Linked DNA regions of Callithrix jacchus. The main gene of each other region encodes a partner of the protein of the gene in region 4 in a complex. Links are inferred from orthologs where the notes say so. Each region holds a gene or a part of one and is shown on either strand. Other genes may lie near its edges.

The links. The genes of interacting proteins can lie anywhere in the genome.
Region 1: CWC22 (region 4) and RNF113A share a complex: the UniProt entries of both Homo sapiens proteins name them as parts of the minor spliceosome. The link is inferred for Callithrix jacchus from reciprocal best matches to the Homo sapiens genes CWC22 and RNF113A.
Region 2: CWC22 (region 4) and RBM48 share a complex: the UniProt entries of both Homo sapiens proteins name them as parts of the minor spliceosome. The link is inferred for Callithrix jacchus from reciprocal best matches to the Homo sapiens genes CWC22 and RBM48.
Region 3: CWC22 (region 4) and CRIPT share a complex: the UniProt entries of both Homo sapiens proteins name them as parts of the minor spliceosome. The link is inferred for Callithrix jacchus from reciprocal best matches to the Homo sapiens genes CWC22 and CRIPT.
Region 5: CWC22 (region 4) and CRNKL1 share a complex: the UniProt entries of both Homo sapiens proteins name them as parts of the minor spliceosome. The link is inferred for Callithrix jacchus from reciprocal best matches to the Homo sapiens genes CWC22 and CRNKL1.

The regions. Positions count from the first base shown.
Region 1 is NC_133524.1:115,851,741-115,854,657, forward strand, and holds RNF113A (E3 ubiquitin-protein ligase RNF113A), read right to left. Parts: upstream 1,684-2,917; 5' UTR 1,583-1,683; coding exon 551-1,582; 3' UTR 501-550; downstream 1-500. Other genes in the region: NDUFA1 (NADH dehydrogenase [ubiquinone] 1 alpha subcomplex subunit 1), read left to right, coding at 1,881-1,982. UniProt on the Homo sapiens protein: Required for pre-mRNA splicing as component of the spliceosome. As a component of the minor spliceosome, involved in the splicing of U12-type introns in pre-mRNAs. E3 ubiquitin-protein ligase that catalyzes the transfer of ubiquitin onto target proteins.
Region 2 is NC_133512.1:57,090,155-57,094,207, forward strand, and holds the start of RBM48 (RNA-binding protein 48), read right to left. Parts: upstream 2,801-4,053; 5' UTR 2,796-2,800; coding exon 2,685-2,795; intron 2,136-2,684; coding exon 1,945-2,135; intron 1-1,944. Other genes in the region: peroxisomal ATPase PEX1, read left to right, coding at 3,162-3,290. UniProt on the Homo sapiens protein: As a component of the minor spliceosome, involved in the splicing of U12-type introns in pre-mRNAs.
Region 3 is NC_133515.1:68,132,468-68,136,586, reverse strand, and holds the start of CRIPT (cysteine-rich PDZ-binding protein), read left to right. Parts: upstream 1-1,319; 5' UTR 1,320-1,418; coding exon 1,419-1,434; intron 1,435-2,855; coding exon 2,856-2,921; intron 2,922-3,674; coding exon 3,675-3,729; intron 3,730-4,119. Other genes in the region: PIGF (GPI ethanolamine phosphate transferase, stabilizing subunit), read right to left, coding at 664-918. UniProt on the Homo sapiens protein: As a component of the minor spliceosome, involved in the splicing of U12-type introns in pre-mRNAs. Involved in the cytoskeletal anchoring of DLG4 in excitatory synapses.
Region 4 is NC_133507.1:49,044,351-49,047,850, forward strand, and holds part of CWC22 (pre-mRNA-splicing factor CWC22 homolog), read left to right. Parts: intron 1-253; coding exon 254-307; intron 308-2,135; coding exon 2,136-2,271; intron 2,272-2,364; coding exon 2,365-2,571; intron 2,572-2,656; coding exon 2,657-2,719; intron 2,720-3,500. UniProt on the Homo sapiens protein: Required for pre-mRNA splicing as component of the spliceosome. As a component of the minor spliceosome, involved in the splicing of U12-type introns in pre-mRNAs. Promotes exon-junction complex (EJC) assembly.
Region 5 is NC_133506.1:27,036,766-27,040,703, forward strand, and holds the start of CRNKL1 (crooked neck-like protein 1), read right to left. Parts: upstream 2,801-3,938; 5' UTR 2,651-2,800; coding exon 2,600-2,650; intron 936-2,599; coding exon 783-935; intron 1-782. UniProt on the Homo sapiens protein: Involved in pre-mRNA splicing process. As a component of the minor spliceosome, involved in the splicing of U12-type introns in pre-mRNAs.

The sequences.
Region 1 (2,917 bases), on a different chromosome or scaffold from region 4:
ACATTTCAAGTGGTCAACAGCCACATGAGGCTAGTGTCTGTCTATCACACTGGATAGCAGAGCACAGATCACTTTTATCATCCATAGAAGGGGGGTTAACTATTGCTGCTTCCAAGACAGCAAGGAACATTTTCCATACGTGAAGTCTGTGGTACTAGCTACCAATCGCCCAAACCCAACCCCTCTCCCTCACACCTTGGCTCTGATATATTTTGTAGTACAGGCTCCTAAGAGAAAGAATGCATGAAAGTACCTGGTAAACATTACGTGATACAGAAATGTGATATAATAAACAGGCTCAGAGTTCTTGCTTTCATCATAGCTTTGGCTACTTCGAGCAAATTCTAGCTCTTTTCTCAAACTACTCCCATCTCTATAATTTATGCCAAAGTGTTCTAGGGCTAAAAATCCCGATTATACCTACCTTGAAGCTTTTAATCCAGGACCCTACTTCACCACCCGCCTTCTGTCACTTTCTCTAAAAGGACACGAATTAAGACTTCCAAAAGAACAAAATATTTATTTTTTAAATTTAAGAATTATGGGAAGCCTAAGTAATGGGAATTGGATCCTCATCGGGGTCTTCTGGGAAGTTGGAAGCACCACCCTCTCCTGTAGCACGATGCTTCTCTAGTTTAGCAATCAATTCTTTCGCTGGATTGAAGACGCCGTAGGTCTGCTGGTCACAGACAAAGCAGCGCGGGGTGGTACGGAAATGCTGCAGTGCACATCTCTCGCAGAAATAATGCCTGCACTTGGTGACAACTGGGTTTTGGAAGCTCTGGCGACAGATGAAACATTTGAATGGTATTTCCTCATCATCGCTTCCCACTTCATAGTTTTCATCCTCATAGACACCATAGCGACCCTCATCAAGCTCACGTTCGATCTGCCACCCATGCTTGTAATCTGAACGGTCATGGAGGAATTTGCAGCTGTCTCCGAAGCCGCAGAAGCCAGTCTCTTTGTAGTCCTTACAGATGTCGGGCTGGTAATCCCAGCGCACGGTGGCACGTAGATGCTCGGGCGCTCGGATGGGGCCCTTCCTCACCATCCCGGAAGAGGCATTGCCCATAGACGTATCCTTGGGCTTCATGTATTTCTGATAATTGTTGATTCCCCGATAGATCTTGTCATCCTCCTTGCCCCTCAGCTCCTCCTGGATCTTCTGGCTGCGCTCAAAGATGGCTTGTGCATCGCGCTCTTTCTCTGTGTCCAGCTCATAGACGGCTGTTGCCCCCATATCCTCTGGTCCCACGGGTTTCGCCGAGCGGGTGGATTTATAAACCACGCCGAGACTCTCGGGCTCATTTTCCACCTCCTCCTCGCTGCTCAAGTTGCCGTAAGCCGCCTTCTGTCTACCACTGTCACGGGTCTTCTGTATCATTGGATTGTGGGTCGTCCGCTTCTTTTCCGGTCGAATCACAGTGCAGCCTTCGTCGCTACTGCTGCTGCTTTCTCCAGGCTCTGGGTCGCAGGCCGGGCGCTTTCTGCGTCCAGCAGCCCCTTTCCGCCCAGGCTTTTTGAAAAGGAAGGTGCACACCTGATCCGCCGTTTTTCCTGGAGAAAGCTGCTCGGCCATTTTAGAGTCCCGAGCTCCGAAACGGCCGTGGCTGCCTGGGTAGCACTTGGCCTCCGCGCGTCACTCCACGTTGCGCGCTCCGCCGCTAGTCAAAGCAAAAGACTGTGGCGGAAGAAGACTGCGAGAACGCGAACGCTAGCCTCTCTTGAGCCCTGGAGGATTCCGTCGCTTCCTCCGGAGCCGTACGTGGCACCGCCCCGCTCGCTGGCGGCCGCGGGGCTTACTGGGAAGAGAGCCGGAGATCCGTCACCTTTCAAGGACTCAGAAGTAGGGTTTTGGTCTAGGTAACCGGGCAGAGATGTGGTTCGAGATACTCCCCGGACTCGCCGCCATGGGCGTGTGCTTGCTTATTCCAGGACTGTCTACTGCGTACATCCACAAGTTCACTAACGGCGGCAAGGTAAGGGGGCTTGAGGGCGCGGGGGCCGACTCCACGGGCTGATTTCCGAAAAGGGTGGGGGGCAGGGAGGCATCAGCTTGCGGACCCTCTCTCCGAGGTCGGCCTTCTCCTTTCTTAGGGTTGCCTAGAAGCTGAGGCTTGCGAAACGAAGGTTGGTAGAAAACACATCCTGCTCTAGTGAAAACCAGCGTTTTAGGGTGGATCAGAGTGGGCCTTAGGGCAGAGTAGCGACTCGGGGCCCGGAAAGGTAGATTAGAAGAGGTGGCTTAAGTCTGTAATCCAGCACTTTGCGAGGCCGAGGCGGGCGGATTACCTGAAGTCGGGAGATCAAGACCAGCCTGACCAACATGGTGAAACCCCGTCTCTACTAAAAATACAAAATCAGCCGGGTGTGGTGGCGCATGCCTGTAATCCTAGTTATTTGGGAGGCTGAGGCAGGAGAATTGCTTGAACCCGGGAGGTGGAGGTGGAGGTGAGCCGAGATCGCACCATTGCACTCCAGCCTGGGCAACAGTCACGAAACTCGTTTCGAAAAAAAAAAACCAGAGGTTCTCCTGCCTCAGCCTCCCGAGTAGCTGGGACTACAGGCGGGTGCCACCACGCCCGGCTAATTTTTATTTTTGTTTGTATTTTTAGTAGAGACGGGGTTTCATCATGTTGGCGAGGCTGGTCTCGAACTCCTGACCTCAGGTGATCCACCCATCATGACCTCCCAAAGTGCTGGGATTACAGATGTGAGCTCCTGGCCACCCATAACTTTTTTATTCTCCACTTTTTGTTGCAAGCCTTTAATAATTTACTGCAAGATCTTATTTTATTTTTATTATTTTATCTTTTTGTAGAGATGGGGTTTCTCCATGTTGGTCAGGCTGGTCTTGAACTCCTGACATCAGGGGATCTGCCTGCCTTGGCCTCCCAAAGTGCTGGGATTACAG
Region 2 (4,053 bases), on a different chromosome or scaffold from region 4:
TTTAAACCTCTTGGATTTGTTCCCTAGTCTTTAAGCAACTAAGGACCCAGCTGGTTGGCCTGAGGTATGTAAACTCTGGTCATAAAATAGAGCTTTTCTGTGGCCCTGAAGAGTTAGTTCATATCCAATTAAGCTTTTTCAGCACAATGTATTTCTGTAATGGGATTTATGCCTTAAAAATCAGATGAAAAATACTATAATCATAATACCTTCAATAACTGAGGAAATACTAAATATATAACAATGAGAAAATAAAAATGTTATTCAGTCAATACTTACTAAACATCTATGATATGCCAAGTACTACAATAAATAAATTTAACTACTCCTATATCCAGGGATAATATTAATACTTGTTGAGATTTTATCATATGCCAAGCAATGTCATAAGTGCTTCCCTTGAATTAATACCTCACAACTGTATAATGAAAGTGAAGCACTAGGACATTATATAACTTAGCCATGCTCATACTCTCGTTTGAGGAGCAAGGATTCAAATAAGGCATTGCATACTTCAGCTTTTTTTGAGCAGAGGGCTTATATCAGATAGAAGGCTGGAAAAAACTGAGTCAATTCGCAGAAAGGAGTGACAATAGCTAATGCTTACTGTATTCTGACCAGGAGGGACTATGCTAAACCCTTTATATGGATCATCTCATTTCATCAGCATACTACCTCAAGAAGGTCCCTTTAGCATATAGATTTTATGGAAGAGGAAAAACAGGTTTAACCTGGTTAAATAACTTGTCCAAGGTCATGAAGCTAGTAAGCAGTTGGACTGGAAAACTTACTCCAAGCCCAACTTTTTGTTTTATTTTTTTGAGACAGTGTCTCACTCTGTCCCCCAGGCTAAAGTGTAGTGGCCCATAAACAACTCACTGCAACCTATGCCTCCTGGGCTCAACTGATTCTCCCACCTCAACCTCCCAAGTAGCTGGGACTACAGGCATGCTCAGCTTGATTTTTGTATTTTTCGTAGAGGCAGCGTTTCACCATGTTGGCCAGTCTGGTCTTGAACTGGGCTCAAGCAATCTGTCCACCTTGGTCTTCCAAAGTGCTGGGATCAAATTCAACTTTTTTTTTTTTTTTTTGAGACAGTCTCACTCTTGCCCAGACTGGAGTGCAGTGGTGTGATCTCAGGTCACCACAACCTCCACTTCCTGGTTTCAAGTGATCCTTGTGCCTCAATCTTCCCAGTAGCACAGGCTTGTGCAACCACACTTGGCTAATTTTGTATTTAGTAGAGTCAGGGTTTCACCATGTTGCTCAGGCTGGGCTTGAACTCCTGACCTCAGGTGATCCCCCTATCTCGACCTCCCAAAGTGCTGGGATTATAGGTGTGAGCCATGTGCCTGGCCTCAAACCCATCTTTTTTTTTTTTTTTTTTTTTTGAGAGCCTCGCTTTATAACATAAAAATAGATAAGGCATTGCATACTTCAGCCTTTTTGGACTCTAAGCTGGAGTCCTGTGGCATGATCTTGGCTCACTGCAATCCTCCACCTCCCAGGTTCAAGTGATTCCCATGCCTCAGCCACCTGAGTAGCTGGGACTACAGGTCCCAACCACCACGCCCAGCTAATTTTTGTACTTTTAGTAGAGCTGGGGTTTCTGTCATGTTGGCCAGGTTGGTCTTGAACTGTCGACATCAAGTGATCTGCCTGCCTCAGTCTCCCAAAGTGGTGGGATTACAGGCGAGAGCCACCGTGTCCTAACTTCAAACCCAACTTTTAATCTACCACACCACAGGACATTAAATTGTTAAGCATGGGAATGATGTGATGGGAACAGTGCTTCAAGTAAAGTATACCTTTAAAAAGGCTAGAGGAAAATAAGTGGAATATAGGCTAGATTACATTGAATGAGGTATGAATGAGGGAAACTTGGGCCCAAAATGATAGAAATATGAATGGAGAAAATGAGTCACTGCTTAACTTGCACATTACCTTGCACTTTGTAAGTTCACAAATTTAATAAGATAAACTTCAGTAAAGTCTTCTGCCGGGTATTCATCTAGAGCATTATACTGTTCAATTGGACCATATAAAGCGAATCGCTCAACTAATTCTTTCATGGCTCCCACAGCAGGAACTCCTTGTATTAGTAAGTACTGAGATTCCAAATTGATTGTATATACCTGAAAGAAATGCAGAGTCGTTAAATGTATCTCGCAAATAAACCTAGGACGAATCTGCCTCTATTTTTTTTTAAACAGCGCTTTCAAAACAAGAAATAATCTGTTCAACCCAAACACAAAATAAAATGTCTCTCATTCCCTCTGCATAAAGAGTAACAGCCCATGTGAGAGGGTACCTAACAAAGGCATATAACAGACTACCTTCAGTCGACATTTTTTTCCAGAAATTGAGTCGGTAGAATTCACCGGGAACAATCACTCAACGAGTATTCACTGAGCGCTTACCTTGTGCCAAGTAGTACTGTAAATACAGAAGATCCAATGACTAAAACCAAGCCTTACTCTCGTGGAGGTGCTGTTCTAATAGTTGACCAAAAGGATCGTGAGAATCTTTGATAACTGACCCAAGCAAGGTTCTTCACGCTAGCTCTAAAGAGAGAGGGATCTGACAGCAGCCTTGTCCTGCCCTTATTTCTGTAGACTGGCTATATGGCGCTAGCACTCATATAAAGCTACCGAAGAGAGCGAATGAAACCAAAATCACTTTACCTTGACAGCACGAGGCCGTCGTCCCTCCCGATATTTGGCCCGCGTGTCGCATACCGCCCGCTGGACGTGGTGGTCAAATACATTCCCTAACTCCCCACCGCTCGACGCCATCTTGCCTGCTTTGATCCTCGCAGGGAGGACAACATCCGCCCTGCTGAGCTCCCTTTTCCCCAATAAGAGAGCGAGATGAGTCAAGGAGTCCCACGATTGGCTGGAGAATCGACAGCGTCGGCCATCGTTTCCTGCGTGAGAGGATTTGATGAACGAGTTGCCGCCCCCGCGAGCGGCACCGCGGAGAGGCGCGGTGAGTGGCAGAAGCTCGCTTGTTCCACCTAATACAGGCTTGCGACGAGAGGCGCAGCGGTCAGAGGGGGCGGGGCCGATCTATCTCCTCCGGCTCCGACGCCCTTGGCCTGCCAGGTCCCGGGTCCGCTGCGGCGCTGGGGTGGGGCGAACCCGGAGCGACGCGTAAGGACGATGTGGGGCAGCGATCTCCTGGCGGATGCTGGGCGAGGCGGGACGGCAGTGACTGTGGTCTTCACCAACGCTCGCGACTGCTTCCTCCACCTGCCGCGGCGTCTCGTGGCCCAGCTGCACCTGCTGCAGGTAACGTGCCGGCTCCGGCCACCTGCTGTTCAGCCTGGGGTCGGACTAGGCCGAAACCTCTCTGGGAGGCGGCGGGATGCCTGCTGCCTTTCGGGCGCCGCCGAAGCGCGCAGAGGTCAGACGAAGGGTCCCTCGAGGACAGGGCCCCTCTGAGTAGTCTTTGCGTCCCACAAGTCCTGGGCAGCCCTGGGCTTGTCTTATCCCAGGTCTTTTCACTTGGTGAAACTGAGCCTAGAAACATTCTAACATTCTACCATTGTTTTTAGAAATATTCCTTATTCCAGGTTGGAATATCTCCTGAGAAGTCGTTTGTTTTTGTTATTTTAAAAGGTGTTTTTCTTGCCAGTCATTTCCAGTTACCTGCGCTGCTGCCGTCCCGGCCGCGAGAGGGAGGCGGAGAATTGTTGGCTGAGCCCGGGTAGATTCCCGGGGACTGACCACCGCGTCCCATAAGCGGGAAAGATTAATACAATGATGGTTTTGCGCGGCGTCGCTGACCCTCGGAACACAGCTGTGGTGTGTTAGGAACACGTAACGTAGTTAGGATCACTTGAAGCTCTGAGATCAGTCGCCTTTCTGGACGTTGTGGTAGGGAAGTTTCACAGTTGTAACCACTGGTGGAGATACAGCGTCCCTACTTTCATAATTAAAAATAGAGGCACATGGTCTCAAGAATTTGAGTGTGCTTATGGGGGCAAAAGGATAGCGTATTTGAAGTTCTCATTGTAAGGTTAGCCAAGAGGAAAGGAGAGTAGACCCAAAG
Region 3 (4,119 bases), on a different chromosome or scaffold from region 4:
TTTTCCATTGTCCAAAATGTTTCAACCCCTACAAATAAGTCATAAAGTCAATTTCCTATGGGCAATGTATTTGTTTCAAAACACCTGGACCTTATAATAGGTGAAGGGGAGAAAGGCAGCAAATCACACTGCCACGTGTGTACCTATGCAACAATCTTGCATGTTCTTCACATGTACCCCAAAACCTAAAATGCAATTTAAAAAATTGCTCTCACTTAATTCACCCAATGCTTTTCAAAGGCAGATACTTTACTGATAAGGAAACACGACAAACAGGTAAGGAGGTCCAAGTTCTCAAGAGCTACAGCCCTCTCTCTGGTACAACGAAATAAAGGGATGGAGAAGGAAACGGATGGCAAGAAGGGACAAAGGGAAAGTTTCCTATAGATTCTATCTTAAGCTGATTGAGGGAGGGCAATCATCAGGAATCCATCCTCACAACAAACCCTTCATCCATTTTTCTGAGCCACCCTCGGAATCGCAGCTGCCAACAGGAGATGCTCCTACAATAAGCAGGAACCAAACTCAAATGTTTGCTGAACGAATGAAGGAACCAGAGTATGTAAAGTGGGAAACTAACTCTCCTGGGAAACCCACACCGTGTTAGGCCCTGGCGTGCCCCCAGGACACCTACAAGGGTGCCACGGGTATGACCTGGCCCACCTCGCTAGGCACCGCAGCAGAGAGACGGCGCTTCCGAGCGGCCCCCAGAGGAGCCCTCGCGGGCATCGCCGCACCTTCACTGGCAGCCCCACCCCAACCTGGGTCGCTCGGGATTCTGCCCGAGCCTAGGCCGGCGCGAGCGTCGACAGCCAGGAACCAGCAGAGAGGCAGGATCAAAGAGCACGGGAGTTGGAGACAAGGGAAAACTGGGGGACAGAGGCAGAAACTCGGATCCGAAAGGGGGGGTCTGTCCATCAGAGCACGCCGGAAGAGTGGCGCTCGAGCTGAGGGCGAGAGCGGGCGGGCCGGGACGCCAAGGCTCACGGCTGCTACGGCAGTTCGCGGGGGTGGCTTGCACCCCGGGGGGCGAGATCGCCGGGGGCGTACATTGGGGCTTACCTAACTCTCCCACCCGCGGAAGGGAAGCGGGGAACTACTGCCTCCTACCATCAGGTACGACGTGCTACCCAGGCCCACCCGCAAGCGCAGGGTTAAGGGGCGGAGATCCAGGGCCGCATAGCCAGTAGCAGAAAGAGAGGGGCGGGCAGATGGGGCAGCCCCGCCTAGACGCTCCCGTTCATTCCTCCCGCGGCCTTCCAAGTTTGGGCTAGACCGGAGCGGCGTGCTTAGAAGCCGGAAGTGGGTTGACGTAGCCCGGAAGGGGAAGCCGTCCGGGTTTTAGTTTTGATGTTTTCGGGCTGCTGTTGCTGCTGCTGCTGCTGCTGTTGCGGCTAGGGGAACCGTCGTGGGGAAGGATGGTCTGCGAAAAATGTGAGTTAAGGGGCTCCTCCTGCGGGAGGAAGAAACTGGGGGAACCTAAATGAACTCTCCCGGGAACTCTGCCTTCTCTTTTGTTTTTTCTTCGCCCACATCTTTGATTCTAGTCGCTGTCCTTCTGCTCTACCCTTTGACCATTTTTGCACCTCCCCAAAGACCATATAGTCCTATAGTATATTTTGTTTTCAGAATGGTCTTAGTTCTGCATCTCCTTGTCTATTTCCATTGCCTTCCCCCAGCTCCAGATCTCATCAGCTCCCCTCCCGTATAAAAATGTTCAGTTAAACCCCAATCACACCTTTCCCTCTTGCAATTCCTGACCTTTCCTTTTTATTCATGTAACACACTAGAACCAAAGACCAAGGACCTCGTCTTACTCATTCCTGTTAGTCATTATGCCAGAATATGGCTTAGAGTAAGCCCAGAAGATGTGTGAATTGAACATCAACGCAAGTGCAAGTTACTATTTCCCTAATTTAACACCTTTAATAAATTCTCAGTGTGCAGAGAACAATGTGGGGATTCTGTATTTGGAGCCTGACGTTCAGGACCCTCCGCAATAAGGCCCCAACTTATTTTTCCAGCTTCATCTTCACTGATCCTTACCCTCTTCACACTTTGACCAAACGTAACTACCCTTTGTGCCCATGTGTACTCGGAGCTTTCCATGCCTTTCCTCAGAATGTGTCCTTTATCAGTCTGCCTTTATCCTCTTTACTCCTTTTTGTTCACAGTCCTATTGCCACATATTCAAATCCTCTCTCTTGCCTTCTCCCCAAACTTTCTTGGATTTCCTTAGCCAGGGTTATATCTTCCTGCATGGAATTTCACCTAGTACTTTAGCTCTCAATTATTACACCGTTTAATTTTTAGCTTATATTTTGGTTGAATGATTCTCAGGTTCTCTCTGAGAATCTGAAGAAAGCTATAGACTCTTGCCAGGAAAGAAAAAAAAAAGATATATAAAAGGTTTGTGTACAATTCTGCCTTGTTCACATATCTCTTAAGATCGACCTGTGGAACATAGATTAAAGATTGCTGTTAAACTACTGTACTATAATCTCTTTAAAATTTTGTCTGATTCATCACTTATTTTTTTCAGTAATTTGTATAGTTTATACATCATAGATGCTTAGTAAATATGTATGGAACAAATAGACTTGCCAGATTTGTTTAAAGTATAAACAAACAGAGAAAGCTTATTATAAGCCATCTTATTATCCTACGGATTTTACTGTGGATCAGTCATTCATTGCCCACAGTTAATACAAGTCTCAGTTCACTGACTGCTCTCCCAGCATTAACAGGCTCCTGCAGTAATAGGACTGTTGATACCATTGTGAACCTTAGGCACAATGTGATGCACTTATGAAATACTAAATTTTAAATTGCTTTTTACTATCTTATTATAACAGGTGAAAAGAAACTTGGTACTGTTATCACTCCAGATACATGGAAAGATGGTGCTAGGAATACCACAGGTATTTCTTCTTTTAGAAAATAGGAATTTAACCAGAGACTCCTGTGAATATTTTATCTTTTACGTTATTTGTAAAATGAAATGTGTTCAAAGTATTTTGTCTATTAAACATGAAAGAATCCTGGGTCCCCAAGTTATTTAATATCTTCTACTTAGTTCTGTTACTTGTACAGGTTCCTAACATCAGGAGATAGCAAAATTATTAAATGATTGTCAAGTGGTGACAGTATCATAATATTTGATTTGATTCAGCTTATTTAGAGACTGCATTTAATTTCTCCGCTCTTCTGAGGAGAAATTTTTTTAAATCTGGTTTTTATATTCTTGAATAAATCCTTTAACCCATTTTACCTTCATTATCATTAATTACTTACAGTGAAGTATTTACCTTCATTATCATTAAATACATAAAGTATGTTTTCGAAGGGAAAGAAAAGAAACATAGACATTCAAGGTCTATGACACTGAAGTAGTGGGTTCTAGATTTTACAGTATATCAAGTAAATATAGACCCATTCCTAAGGTACTACCTTGAGTCTGAAAAATAAAATGATTGTATTTTATACAAATTTTTATTGTTTCTCTAATAAATGTTTTCTTTTTAAGCAGCGTCTTAATAACCTGACTGTTAAATGAAGATTTAAAAATTAGATATAGGCTACTAGTTTGGCAGAAAGTCAGAGAATGAACTTCTTAATGTTATATGTTAAATGTATAGAAGTAACCCTTTAAAATAACTTCTATTTTGATACAGAAAGTGGTGGAAGAAAGCTGAATGAAAATAAAGCTTTGACTTCAAAAAAAGCAAGGTGGGTAAGAGGATCCATAGAGAAGTCATATAATTTTCACTCTTTTAATGTTAAGCCTACTGGAGTGAATTTGATGTGCATCATTCCAATTGCAATAAAACATAGAGTTAGGTGGTTCCTGGCACTCAGAACCAAGCTATTTGTTATAACCTGCTGGTTTTACCTTATTCCTCCTTACTGTATGTCCCCCTCTGACTTCATATTGTACCATACTCCTCCTCATTCATCATATGCCATCCTCATTGGTTCTGCCAAGCCTCCCCCATCCAAAGAGATTTGTCCTTGCTGCTGTGTCCTCGAGGTCTTTACTGAGAGCTTACGTATCTGGCTCCTTGGTGTTTGGGTCTCAGCTGAAGGGTCTTTTCTCGGAGAGGTTTCCCTAATCAGCCT
Region 4 (3,500 bases):
TTCTTCTGTTCTGTTAAATATACCTGACCACTAATCATGAGCCACAAAAATGATGGCTAAACTGTAGAATTATAACTAACCAAAAGTGATAGTCTTTCATGTGTTATTTTATCTTATAATTTTCTTATAATATAAAAATTATACTTTTGTATTACATGTTTTAAATAGATTATGTTTAGGCCATAGATTCTATAAACAAATGAATATCAGGTTTAATTTATGGATTAACTTTCTCTTTACCTTCATTTTTCAGCAACTTTGTCTGACTGCTTCAAAATTTGTGGCACATCTTATTAACCAAAATGTGGTAGGTAATTATCCTCAAAACTTTGTCCCATTCAGTGGCATTAGACCACAGGGTTGATGCCACTCCACTGATAACTCTATTTTTGTTTTACTTTATAGTTTTTGGGATAAGTATGTTGGATGATATTTTCATTTTAAAAGTATAATGTATTTCATGTTCTTTAACATAACACTTTGTTGTTAATCAAAGCACTTTTAGCTATTTTATCAAATTAATCTGACTTAATACTGTACATGGTTACTTGACTACAAACCATTCCTTTGAAAAACTATTCCATTTTTATAAAATAATAAAGTTGGTGTCTCCTCCACTTCATTCCCTATACCTGGTATTCATGAGAACCTAATAAATATCTAACATTCTACAAAAGCCTCTATTCTTTGCAACCACATAGGAATAGTCATATATTTTTAGAATCACTTTATAGAATATAGTTGATCAATTTTAATCTGTTTCAAATGCAGACAATTTTATCATGCTATTATTCTATTTGTGTTTATTTTATATTCACACATTATTTGATGGTTTTGATTTAGTTTCTGTTTAACCTTTAAAGTGGTAAAATTGTTCTTGCACTCAGAAGTTTCCTTCAGTTATATATTATCATTTGCAATTTAATATCATGTATAACAGGAAGAATTTTATAGTCACACTTATAACAGGAAGAATTTTTAAGTCACACTTAATCTTATTTCACTAACATTAAATGTTGTGGTTCTTATTTATGTGAAAATTCTTTCACTCTTGAAAATCTTCTCAATTCTAACCTAATTAGTCATTGTATTATTACAATGATAACTTGCTACTTAAGACCATGGAAACTTAATTTCACATCTATAACCACAGAGATATATTTTCATTTTTAATTGTGTATTACGCTTGGACTAGAGATTTTTGGTTTTGTCATAAAACACTCAATATGACAAATTTTTTGCATCTTCCCAACTCTGGTACAGGGCAGTTTTTTTCTTGTCACTGATGTAAGACTGTTTGACACCCCTCCTCCCCTTATAAAAAGAAGCAATGGATGTCTTTGATGTGCACAATTGGAAGAAGATAGACTCCTGAGTTGAGATTTAGACTTCTTTCCTCCCCATTTCAAATCACCATCTGACTTTAGAAAGGCATATGTATGGTGTTGTAAACATCCTTTGTAGTTCTTTTTCTTCTCATACCAAAGTTTCTCAGTAGAATTTTATTCCCACTCTTCCTGCCATTGTTTATAAATGTCAGTTTTTTAATGTGGCCGGTGGAAATAGTTTGATTTATTATTTTTTTTTAAAAGATAGAATATTCCAAACTGTTGTGTTCTGGAAGTTATTAAGATATTTTGTGACAAAATTAGTATTCATGTAAATGAAGGACTCTTTGTGTCTAATAGAGTTGCTGATAGAATGAATTGGGAAATGTATACAAAGAAGTGTACTCATGTAGAAGGGTATTATAAATCATATTACTATTATATAGTAATTATGAAAATAATTCTTATTAGAAAGTAGTATATGATTTTAACATATTTCATCTATGACACTTTCCATACAGAATGGGTCAGAATATTTCTTCTGAAGATAATTCAGATAGTTGTGTTCAGCATAAAAAAATTAAGATTATTGGAACAGTCTGAAAATTTTTAATAGATTGATAATAAAAGTAATAGAAAAATTCTATCCATGTTTGTAGTATTTCTATTTGCTGTATACAACTTTGCCTGTCATATGTGCAATATAATTATTTTAAACAAGATTTACTAATTTTTAGAAATTATAAACAATATTTTAATGTATGTAAAAGCATTTTTTTTCTTTCATATATACGTATTCTATTTAAGGCACACGAAGTTTTGTGCTTAGAGATGCTCACTTTGCTCTTGGAAATACCAACAGATGATAGTGTTGAAGTAGCTATTGGTTTTCTCAAGGAATGTGGCCTCAAATTAACACAAGTGTCACCAAGAGGAATCAATGGTAAGAGTACATTCTTAGTTTGATGTTAAGTTTTTGTTTGAGTATTATAATATTTACTGCTTATTTTATTGTCTTTTCTTTGTTTACCTTTAGCTATATTTGAACGCCTTCGAAATATTCTGCATGAGTCTGAAATTGACAAAAGAGTTCAATATATGATTGAAGTGATGTTTGCTGTACGGAAAGATGGATTCAAGGACCACCCCATTATCCTAGAAGGTCTTGATTTGGTGGAAGAAGATGATCAATTCACCCATATGCTCCCTTTGGAGGATGACTATAATCCGGAAGATGTTCTTAGTAAGTCTGGGGCATGGTAGGTAGAAAGTGGAGCACCAAGAAATGTAAACAGAAAATAAACATTAACTTTTAATTTTTTTTTAAGATGTTTTCAAGATGGATCCTAATTTTATGGAGAATGAAGAGAAGTACAAAGCTATTAAGAAAGGTATGTAGAATTTTATAAAATAATTTCTTTTGGATAAGTAAAAGCAATTTAAGTAGTTACATAATAATGATAGGAAATATTTAGAGATCAGTGATCCCCACCTAATGAAATCTCTGCTCTTGTAAAGTTATTCTCTTAGCTGTTTCCTTGGGCATTTTATTTTTCCTGGTACTTGCCCATGGTTTTTTACTTCATTCTGAATTATTTACCCCATTGTTCCTCTCTTCTTCCCCTCTAAACCCTTAAGTCTCACCCATCTTAAGAAATATTCATAGGTTAGTAGTGACCTTTATTTAACTTCTGTACCACTTACTGTCTTTGCCACCCAGTTTAATATTCAATTAAGTGGTATACTTTCCTGTAAAGTGCTATACTTACATTGTTTCTTAATGTCAGGTTGATATCCTTGTAGTAAGGTGAATCATAGTATTGGTGCCTGATAAATTAATCACTTGCATTTGTACATCATTGCTATATATGGTAAGCGCTAATTTTGGACAGGTTTTGATTTGTAATTTGTCTTTGACATTACTAGCTGAGTGACCTGTAGCAAGTTACTTATTTGATGGAAGACTAAATGTTACCTTTCTATAGAAGGATATATACAATACATTGTTGTGTATTATCACAGACAATGATAGCTGTTATTAATTAATGTTATAATTTTCACATTTGCATTAGTTTCCTCCTAAAGCTGACACTCTGGCCTACTTTCATAATAATTTTATGGGCTTATTTCTCTTGAATTGTAATTTACTGGAGAAGTATTTAATGCTGTGAA
Region 5 (3,938 bases), on a different chromosome or scaffold from region 4:
TTTTGTGATGAAGTCTCTCTCTGTCGCGCAGGCTGGAGTGCAGTGGTGTGATTTAATCTCACTGCAGCCTCTGCCTCGCAGGTTTCAGTGATTCTCATATCTCAGCCTCCTGAGTAGCTGGGATTACAGGCATCTGCCATCATAACTGGCTAAATTTTTTTGTAATTTTGGTAGAGATGGGGTTCTACCATGTTGACTAGGCTGGTCTCCAACTCCTGACCTCAGGTTGTCCGCTGAGGCCAGGACTTTGGCCTCACAAAGTCCTGGGATTACAGGTGTGAGCCACCATGCCTAGCCAGATCTCAATTCTTAACACAGAAGGTGGTATAGGCAGAAGTACACAACAGTGCAGTTTTACTAAGCATACCCTCTGCTGGTTCCAGTTGTTCCACCTGCTAAACTTCCACCCATGTTTGATTCAGCACCAAAAATTATGCAGATTCAATTTCTTTGTACTTTAACCAGACAATTCATAGCATATTTTGTATAGTTCAGAAAAATGCTGTTATCTGGTAACCAGAAGTACATTATTCATGTGCTATAAACACTAGCCTCATCTTGCCCTACAGAAATTCTTTTTTTTGGAGACGGAGTCTTGGTCTGTTACCAGGCTGGAGTGCAGTGGCGTGTTCTCAGCTCACTGCAACCACCACCTCCCGGGTTCAAATGATTCTCCTGCCTAAGCCTCCCAAGTAGCTGGGACTACAGGCGTGCAACACCATGCCCAGCCTACCAATACTTTCTTAACAATTAGTGGACTGAAAGATATCACACCGACTGACCTTCCTTTTCCTTAGTTTATAATCATTTAATTCTTCTTCATCTGTGATCTTTTGTTGAGGTGGAGGTGGAAGAAGCTCAAGTTCTCTTTCTTTAGCCTCTCTTAAGAGCTGTTCAGCAGTTATCTGTACCTCAGCTGGGGCTTTGTTTTTCACCTTTTAAGAAAGAAAACATTTCTATTTTTAGCAGATGCTCTTCACACGGGTTTAAGAAACCAGTTTTATGTTACATCCTTTAGGATACATTGTTTTAGGATGTGAACTTCATTAGTATTATCACAAGATACCCTCTTTGTATGACATGTTCCCATTCCTCCATGAGACAGAAAAGAAAAAAATACTATGTTTTCCTTGTTATTCATGGTGTCTACTACAAAGCCATAGGCAAAAGTCTCAACTGAAAAAGGTCGCAAAAACAATAGCGAGCTTTCTCTTTTAGATGAGTATAATAATAAACTTTGAGGCAGTCTAGGTAAAATTCTGACCAGAGGTTTTGTTTTATCAAGATGTGTACCACATCTTATTAACAGCATTACAACCTGCATTTACAGAATTCTTCAACTTAGCTAATGCCCCTGGTGGGTAATTGAGTTTGGTTTTTCATGGCACTTCAAGTCCAAGGCAAAATTCAATAACTTCCCATCATTAGACTGTAAGCTTCCTGAGGTCTTAGAAGCTTACAGTCTAATGTAGCTTAGAGCTGTGCTGCCCAGCACAGTAGCTGTGAGTCACATGTGGTTAGTACAAAATGGGGTGGACTGTAGATGTAAAATACACTCTGGTTTTGAAGATGGAGTATGAAAAAAAGAATAAACTACCTCATTACATTTTTTTATACTGATTAATATTGAAATAATATTTTGGATACATTAGGCCAAATAAAATATCTATGATTAAAACTAATATCACCTTTTTTGTTTTTTACTTTTTAATGTAGATATGAGATATGTGGCGTGCATTATATTTCCATTGGAGCAGTGATGCCCAATAAAAGTTTATGTAATTGAATTATAAAAGACTTAATGCCACGTGTGAAGTAATGATGATAATGGTGATAGCTCATATTTAATAAGCACTAAGTGCCAGACACAGTGTTACTTGCTCTATATGCATTACCTCTGCGAGTCAGATAAATGGTTATGTAAAGGTCCAGTTCAACAGAGTCATCTGGGCTCAAGAAAGACTTGAGGGAGGGTATCTGTGAAGGCTTGAGAGAAAGCCTGCCCCATGTTAAGCACTTGGTAAGTATCAGCTATCGAGGGAAACACCAGATAGTGAACCTACCCTTTAATGAACTTATGATACCATACAACTCCGTCTACTCTCGCCTTCCGCTGTCAGCTGGGCTAACTCCTATTCCGCCTTCAAGTCTCAGCTTAAAGGTCATTTCCTCTGCAAAACTTACTTTCAGGACCCCCTCATACGCCCCACTTATTCACGCCCATGGCATATTCTACTTTGCATCAGCAACATCTAGCAAGGTCGTCTTTATACACAAGCTCGTGTTTTGGGTATTGTTGTGCTTCGCGTCCGAGCGTAGCTCCCCAGCGCCCAGTGCAGTGCTTGGCGCAATAAGTCTTCACTGATCCACCCCACTCCTCCCAACTGCACAAACACCCCAGAACGAAGGCCACGCCAACGCAGGTCGCGCTCCGCTATGACAAGAGCCCACGCCCCACCACCAGCGGATCCTTCGTCTCCATCTCTCAGGGTGAGCCTTCTCCCCGGTAGGAACACTCTCTTCCGCCCGGGGCATCCCCAGGGCTAAGGCAAGCCCCTCTCCTAGGCCACCTGCCACAAGGCCCGTCGCGATCCCCTACCTTGGCCACTTTGGGAATCCGCTGTTTCCCGGCCGCAGTAGAGGCCGCCATGTCTGCAGCAGCGGACCTCGGGACACCTGGCCCCACGCACGGACGCTAGAAATCTACTCTGAGAGCTCACCGAAACCACGAATCTTTTCTGACAACAAACAAGATCCCGGAACCGGAAGCGGAACTCACTAGGATGACTTTTGACCTCTCGCATGCGCCGTGACGGAGCGGCTCCGTTTCCACGGTGACCAGGCTGCGCGTACTCCTGCAGCAGCGCGTAGAGTGCGGCGTCCTGGAGCTGCGAGTGAGGTTCGTAGCGCCGGCCTGCCTGGCAGCGACGCAGGTCCTGCGGTTCAGGGCGTCAAGGGCGCATCCCCAGGTCAGCCTCCGGAACTGGGATGACCAGGCGAGGACTAGTGGCTCTTTCGAGCCGTGGCGCCCTGCAAGGGAGTAGGAACGAAGCTCCAATCTGGGTGCTCGAGGGCGGGGAAGAAGGGAGAGCGAGAAAACTACATCCCCAGCATGCCAAGGGGCGAGCTGCCGCCCTTTAGGCTTTCTGGCGCTTCATTTCATTTTAGGGCTTGTAGTCTGTGGGGTCCACGCCCCCTCGTTTCTGGTTTCTGGATAGTTATGTCCAAATAATGAACTCTAAGGTGCCCTAATAATTGACTCTAAGGTTTGGAATTAAAAATAACGTAAGATATTTCGAAGTCAGATATTAGGAAAAAAATGAAAATACATAGAGTAACTGGAAAACAACTCAGTCTTGAGATAAGAAGCATGTTTAAATTCTGTGTGTGCCTTAATTACATTTTCTTAGCCTCAATGTCCTCAACTATAAAACAAGGATAGTAACATCTGTTTCACTAGGATTAAAGATAAGTGCTCATTAAACGTTAGCTATTATAATAACCTACCCTCAAAAACTTAAAAATTAAGCCAAGGTTAAGATAATTTTTTTTAATAGACAACTTTTAGAGAAGTTTTAGGTTCACAGCAAAATTGAGTAGAAGGTACAGAGGTTTCCCCCCTCCAACAGCTTCCTACTGTCAGTAATTGTACTTCCTTCCCCCTCCAACAGCCTCCTACTCTGAATGACATTCTCCTCCGGAGAGGTACATTTGTTACAACCATTAACCTACACTGGCACATCATTATCATTCAAAGTTTGTAGTTTATGTTAGGGTTTACTCTTGATGTTGTATATTCTATGAGTTTGGACAAATGTATAATGACATGACTTGGCAGCACATTTGTTAGGATAATTTCCACAGTTGCAAAAGGCTCTTTTTGGTGTTTGGCCAAAATATATATTTACGGATGTAGTGATACATAATGCAGATTATAT